Caenorhabditis elegans: one gene and its partner. The protein of the gene in region 1 interacts with the protein of each later gene in a pairwise test. Each region holds a gene or a part of one and is shown in the gene's direction. Other genes may lie near its edges.

Region 1 (4,361 bases):
AAAGGCTTATCGTAAAATGGCTTTGAAATACCATCCGGATAAGAATAAGGAAGCTGGAGCTGAGAACAAATTCAAGGTATTTTTTAAAATTTAGTTTTCTAATTTAAAAAAAAGTTTTTGGTCCTCGGTGAAGGATACTGTACTTTTCATGACCAAGTTGTTATTTTTAAGCACTCGATTTAAAAACGATTTTAATCAAAATATAGAAAATCCCAGTAAAATTGCAGTTTTTCTGGGAATTTATTGATGTTAACCTGAAATAATATTTTTTTTAATTACAGGAAATTGCCGAAGCTTACGATGTTCTTTCCGATGATAAGAAAAAGAAGATTTACGATCAATTCGGAGAGGAAGGACTAAAGGAAGGTGGACCAGGAGCCGGAGGTGGTGGCGGCGGTGGAATGCACTACGAATTCCGTGGAGACCCAATGAACATTTTCTCATCATTCTTTGGAGGATCCGATCCGTTCGGTGCTGGTGGACCTGGAATGTTTGATCTTGGTGGTGGAGCCGGAGGCCCGAATATGTTCTTCATGAATCAAGGTGGTATGGATGACGGTATGTTCGGCGGCATGCATCAAGGTGGAAGACGTGGACATGCTCGTCAAGATCCTGCTGTGCTCCATGATCTTTCTGTCAGTTTGGAGGATGTACTGAAAGGTACAACGAAGAAGATGAAGATTACAAGAAAAGTTATGACGGACAATGCTCAACGCCTAGAAGACAAAGTTTTGACGGTCACTATTAAACCAGGATGGAAGTCAGGCACAAAGATCACATTCCCAAAAGAAGGTGATCAGCACCCGAACAGAACTCCCGCCGACATAGTCTTCGTCATCAAGGATAAGCCACACCCGAAATTCAAGCGAGAGGGATCTGACATCAAACGCGTCGAAAAGATCTCCCTGAAGTCTGCATTGACTGGCCTTGATATTATGATTCCAACGTTGGATGGAGCAGACTACCGTCTTCAATTGAACGATGTCATTAAGCCGGGAACTACAAGACGGTAGGTTAAAAATTTTGAGATTCACGAGAAGTAAATTATTAATTTTAATTCTTTCAGGCTGACTGGAAAAGGACTTCCAAATCCAAAGTCTCCATCTCACAGAGGAGATTTAATCATTGAGTTTGACGTGGAATTCCCATCACAACTCAATCCAACTCAACGGGAAGTGATTCTGAGGAACTTCTAATCGCATTTTTCAATTTTCCCTCTCTTGCTTATCAATCAACTACAGTCGAACCAAGACGGGTAAACAATCACTCTTGATTGCCATTGGATTCGATTTAGCAGTATTCAGTCGCCTTGTTCGATGTTTTCAAGCGGGTATTTAAGAGATTTTTTATTAGGATGTTGTTCTTTTTATCACCCATGTTTCATTGTTAATTACCCATCTCACACATATTGCCCATAGTTATTCAGATGCATTTTTTATCGTTTATCAAGTCTCATTCTAATGACATGAAAACCTTCATTGACAAGATACTCGGTGTAATTGTATCCCCCCTCAACCGCCCCCTCTTTCAATTTTAATTCGTGCTTCCTTATCAACATTTCCGATAAATAAACTTTTAAATTAAAGCAAAAGAAAGTTTTGTGATTTTCGTGTGTTCAGTTGATCTGTCTCCTCATCGTATCGATTGTCTTGTCCTTGGCCACGTGGGGGTAAAAGATGATATCGGGCGTTGAAAGAAAGGAGATGAGGGCACACCATCATCATTCTTTACCAGTTTGCAGCGGCAAAAATGCTGACCAGAGGATTCACGTCAATTGGCAAGATTGCAAGTAGAGGTAATTAATGTTTCAGTTAATATTTAAGGCTGGTGTAGTCGAATTTAATTAAGACTGCTGTAAAAATACAATAAAAACCGCAACAATCACCTAAAATTAGCCGAAAACAATAATCAACATATTAATTATATGATTGTCCGAGAGGAGTACACGCAGAGGGCGCTCGTTCGCGCGCGAAGTTCAAAAAATTTAGAATTATTCGCTATTTCGAAGCCATAACTCACGTTAACGAAATTTTTGTGATGTATCGTTTTTACATATCGTCTAAATTCGACTACACCCAAAAAATTATTCTCAAACTTGAGCTCACCCTCCAAATATTTCAGGTCTCTCGTCGACGTTCTACCAAGATGCTTTCCAGCTTTCGGATCAGCTCACTGAAGACGAAAGATCTTTGATGCTCTCGGCTCGGGAATACTGTCAGGAGCGACTTTTGCCACGTGTCACAGAAGCTTACAGAACTGAAAGTGAGACACTCCATACCGAATTCTTATTTAATTTTACCATAGTCTTGATTTCCAGAATTCGACCCATCCCTGATTCCGGAAATGGGAAGTATGGGCCTGTTGGGCGCCCCATATCAAGGATACGGCTGCGCTGGAACATCAACTGTTGGCTATGGACTCATCGCTCGTGAGGTGGAACGAGTCGATTCGGGATACAGATCTACGATGAGTGTGCAAACGAGTCTGGTGATCGGACCGATCTACAACTACGGAAGTGAGGATCAGAAGCAGAAATATATTCCCGATTTGGCGAGTGGAAAGAAGATCGGATGCTTCGGATTGACCGAGCCGAATCATGGATCTAATCCAGGAGGAATGGAGACAAAGGCCACGTAAGTCTAGAAAATATTTGATTCATTTTCAAAACTCTTGTGTTTTTCAGCTGGGATGAGACCACAAAAACCTACAAATTGAATGGATCGAAGACTTGGATCTCCAACAGCCCTGTCTCTGATGTGATGGTCGTTTGGGCGAGAAGTGCTCGCCACAACAATAAAATCAAGGGATTCATCCTGGAACGTGGAATGAAGGGACTGACGACTCCAAAAATTGAAGGAAAACTTTCATTGAGAGCCTCGATCACTGGACAGATTGCAATGGATGATGTTCCAGTACCAGAGGAGAATCTTCTCCCGAACGCTGAAGGGCTTCAAGGACCATTCGGATGCCTGAATAACGCACGCCTCGGAATCGCGTGGGGTGCTCTCGGAGCAGCTGAAGAATGCTTCCATCTCGCACGCCAGTACACTTTGGATCGCCAACAGTTCGGACGCCCACTTGCACAGAATCAGCTGATGCAGTTGAAGATGGCTGATATGTTAACTGAAATCTCTTTGGGTCTTCAAGGATGCCTTCGTGTGTCCCGCCTGAAAGATGAGGGAAAAGTTCAATCAGAGCAGATCTCGATTATCAAAAGAAACTCGTGTGGAAAGGCTCTCGAGGTGGCACGAAAGGCGAGAGATATGCTTGGTGGAAATGGAATTGTGGATGAGTACCATATTATGAGACATATGGTGAATTTGGAGACAGTTAACACTTATGAAGGAACACACGATGTACATGCTCTGATCCTTGGAAGAGCCATCACGGGACTCAACGGATTCTGCTAATTTTTTCTTTTTTTTCCTTTTTTCACTTATTGTCTAGTCTTGTCATAGTCTATTGCTTTTCAACGCAAAAAGTTTTATTTCATTCCCAAAAATATTGAAGTTTCAATAAATATGTAGCACACGTTGGAAATTCTTTCTTGTTGCTCAATTAGATCAGCCTTTCGAGGAGAGTCTGAAAACATAAAATTTAGTTAGAAAACGTGGTGTTTTGTCAAATTTATTACGCTCCGTATCACAAAGGAGTGCACAGAGTTGATACTCAGCCAAATGCCAAATTATAAATATTGAATTAAAATTCCAGAAAATCAGAAACTTTTACATAACTTTGAATAAATTTCAGCAATGACCTGCAAGTCTTTTATGCATTTATTTGAAACAATTCAGGTGGGTCTCGACACGAATGAAATGTTTCAACTACAGTACCCACTCTCTCGACTCTTTCTAAATATATTTAATTTTCTTTAAATAGATATGAGCTATAGAATTAAAAATTGTGTTCAAATTTTTACTTTTATTTCCAAAACAACCATATTCACAGGGGAATCCGAAAATATCAACAAAAAAAAATGAAACGCTCCGAGTTGAAATCTAGCTGAATTACAAATAATTGGATATTTAAACAATGATGTTTTAAGAATTTTCAGAATTTGGAAATTTATAAGATTACATTAGTTATCTGTGAATTGTATGGAAATTGGTCTCGAACTCTGTATAATTGGAGAATAAATTAATTTTACAGTCATAAATACTAATGGAAAAATTACGGCTTGTCTATTTAAATACACTTATAATGATTTAAAAAGACCGAATAATTTAATAAAACACTTCAAAAATTTTTTCGATTTTTCATAATTTCCGGCCAAAATTTTGTCAAATTGCCAAAATTTCGAAAAATATGAGCTTTTGAGGATATTCTAACTTCGCATGTTTTGACCCTATAATGTTTTAGTA
Region 2 (3,201 bases), on another chromosome or scaffold:
ATAAACAGTTAAAGTTTCCTTGAGAACAATGTGGTTGAGCAACGCGAACAAATCATCAATGTAAATTTCAGCGGATTCGTTACGACGTGTCTCACCACATCGTTAGTAGGATTTCAGAACACATTAAGTAGAAATCAAGAGACGCGGAATAGTGAAATGAAAATGCGACGTTTACCTTTCTGAGAAGGACGGTTACACCGGATGTACGCGTCGACGCTTTAATCTAATAAGGATAAGGTTCAATGCATGAAAAGGTGTTTACATTTGAAACCTTCTATTTCGGTTAAAAGAACTCGAATGAAATATTGCATCAGAAAATCTATAGTTTAGAAAATGCGTTTATTTTTAGAATAGGACAATTTTACAAGCAAGAGTCATAAATTAATACAAAAATTACAGAAATGTCAAAAAATAACGATATTCACAACCATTCGGATAGAAATTAAAGAGACAATCAAAAGGGTCATTTATTGTAGTTGCTTGATCTCTTTTCCTGTTTTCTTCAGAGCTTCAAGTACATCAGATGCTGGTAAATCAGTTGTAACTGTGATTTTCTTGGTTTCCACGTTAATATCGTCAATTTTGATTTTGTCTTCTGTAGAATAATAGGATTAATTTGATTAACAAAAAGTAAACCAAACCTCCAAGCTTTCCTAGAACTTTTCGCGCAGCATTTGCACAGCCATTGCATGTCATGCCCATTTCGAAAACGTACTGAAAATGTTCAAATTATTTTTTTTTTCACAAATATGAGAATATTTAATTGTAATTTGTAAAAAGTTAAATAATTTACCTGTGTCATGATATTTGTTGAGTCAGAAATCTGGAAACTCTGCTTCTGCTTGCCTGAAAAACGTTAATTTGAATGATTGGAATTAGTACAGTCGAAAAGAAATGAACAAAGAGACGCAAAATGGAGAGACAGTGATAGGGCGACTCGTGGTCAATGCTTTATCTCTGAGAATTTGCATCATTCGACATTTTTTGATCAAGTTTTCAAGAAACTGCGATAATTAAAAAAGGAACTATTGAGATGGGACAACTCGAATGGTTTAAGCAACTTTTAAATGTTTTCCAGTTTTTTTTTTTACTTTTTGGAAAAATTTATGGAAAAATGAGAAAGAAGCTTAGAAACAGGATAAAGACACCAAATGACGTCACAGCTTTGCATTAATGCATCTTCTCTATTTTCTCGGCGTCTCACTCATCTTCTACTTTGAAACGAGCGTTTTTATGGGGTGAGAAAATTATCGATTTTAAGGGTGATCAGTTAAAGAGAAAAATAAAGACGATAACATTTTGATGGAGCCTGTTAAATGTTGTGAATTGGAAGAAATAGAGCCTTATATAAAGAACTGTTTTATCATCTACAGTAGTCCGAAAGCCATTTAGCAGGATATTCGAGGCTGAAGAGAAGTTAACTATATTTAGATAGCATAACTTATTAAAACTCAAAAAGTACAAGGACATTGAAAAAGCGGAAAATACAAATACTCAGTTTAAATTAACTAAAAAACCAAAACCCACATCTTTTTCATGCATGATGCATGGGTATGATTAATTTTATGTCGTCAAGTATGGTGTCGCATACGCAGTCTGCAGTATGTCGTATTATCTGATGCTAGCGCAACTTTCGAAAATTCAAGGTTCTTTTTTCATTTTTATGGAGGATTTCGCAGCGTTTTAACCTTTTTAAATGTGTTTTGTTGAGTTTATGTTTATTAAAACAACTTTGTCACTATTAGAAAATAGATACATCTTTCCATCTCACTGAAAAAACCGTCAGATGGGTTTTAAACTTCTTAAATTGTTCAAACATAACAATTGTGATTCGGAAACGCTTTGAATGTATTTTTATTGCTTAAATTACTTGTGTCCTTCACTATTTTCGATATCCCTCGTTTCAAAATATATTATTTAAAAATATTTCAGAAATGTCCGCAGTTCAACCAGTGAACCCAAAACCGTTCCTCAACAGTCTCACCGGAAAGTTTGTCGTTTGCAAACTGAAGTGGGGAATGGAGTACAAAGGTTTGTATTGACATAATGAAATATTTCACCAAAAGCGCCAAATGTTTAAGGTGTCCTTGTTGCTGTCGACTCCTACATGAATCTGCAGCTGGCTCACGCCGAGGAGTACATTGACGGAAACAGTCAAGGAAATCTCGGAGAGATTCTTATCCGGTTGGTGCATTTTTTAAAAGAAAAAATTCAAGCCGTAGAAACTAAAGTTATTACAATCTTATGCACATTTATATCGTAGTAAATCTTGAAAAATGTTCTAACTTTAGATGCAACAACGTTCTCTACGTGGGAGGCGTGGACGGAGAAAACGAGACGAGTGCCTAAATTCTTCAAACCCTTCTCAACAATTGATCTTATGTTCACAAGTTTTCTGTCTTTTTCGCACATTCTTAATCAATAAATTATAATTATCTTATTAAAGAAGTTTTTAAAATATTTATTAAATGAAAAAAAAAATCATCAGCAAATTATGTAAATTATCAAAGACACAGCGAATCCTCTTTCACCAACGTGGCGCTCATTTCATTTTTGACATCTACTTCTTCAACAACTACAATACCATTCTCAATTGTCTTCAGCTTCTCTTTCTCATTCATCTCCTGATCATCCTCAACTTTAGCCCAATCTTGTAATTCTCCTGATCCGAATAACAAGAATATTGAACCAGAGAAAATATGTGCCAGTGAGCATCCTATGAAGATATTCTGCCACTCCGCAGCGGTTCCCTAAGAATATGGATAGCAAGTAGATTTGTCAAAAATCTCTAAAATAGCTTACGTCTTTTCTGAACATGCTCATGACTGCAGGAGTTGTCAATCTACCAATCATTGCAACAAACATTGAAATTGCAGACATGGTTGCAGTATATTGTGGTGCCAAACTGAGTAGTGATGTGTAAAATCCACTCACAAATGTTCCCATTGAGCTATACCTGAAGACTTTAAATTTGGAAAAGTCGCTGAAAAGTATCGAAACTCACATTAAACAGAAGAAAATAAGGCCAGTTGTTGGATTAGAGCAATCGACAAAGAATGCAAGTAAAATAAGTGAGAAGGAACTCCCAAAACTTGCTGAAATAAATACTATTTCTGGAAACTTGCAAAAATCAACTGACCAACACCATGTGATACCTTTACAGCTTTAGTATTACTGAGAATCTTATTTTCTTTTAATTTA

Evidence for each region.
Region 2: the proteins of F54D5.7 (region 1) and snr-5 interact in a two-hybrid assay, tested with the Caenorhabditis elegans proteins (one large-scale study listed by BioGRID).

What each region holds. Positions count from the first base shown.
Region 1 is NC_003280.10:11,545,776-11,550,136, forward strand, and holds F54D5.7 (putative glutaryl-CoA dehydrogenase, mitochondrial), read left to right. Parts: upstream 1-1,741; 5' UTR 1,742-1,749; coding exon 1,750-1,795; intron 1,796-1,846; exon of another isoform or gene 1,847-1,996; intron 1,997-2,121; coding exon 2,122-2,262; intron 2,263-2,317; coding exon 2,318-2,633; intron 2,634-2,683; coding exon 2,684-3,410; 3' UTR 3,411-3,537; downstream 3,538-4,361. Other genes in the region: dnj-13 (DnaJ homolog subfamily B member 13), read left to right, coding at 1-76, 282-1,009, 1,067-1,196.
Region 2 is NC_003281.10:7,860,138-7,863,338, forward strand, and holds snr-5 (putative small nuclear ribonucleoprotein F), read left to right. Parts: upstream 1-1,932; 5' UTR 1,933-1,934; coding exon 1,935-2,031; intron 2,032-2,081; coding exon 2,082-2,184; intron 2,185-2,291; coding exon 2,292-2,349; 3' UTR 2,350-2,437; downstream 2,438-3,201. Other genes in the region: cuc-1 (Copper transport protein ATOX1), read right to left, coding at 468-595, 642-714, 794-802; putative transporter slc-17.3, read right to left, coding at 2,505-2,750, 2,803-2,956, 3,005-3,095, 3,140-3,201.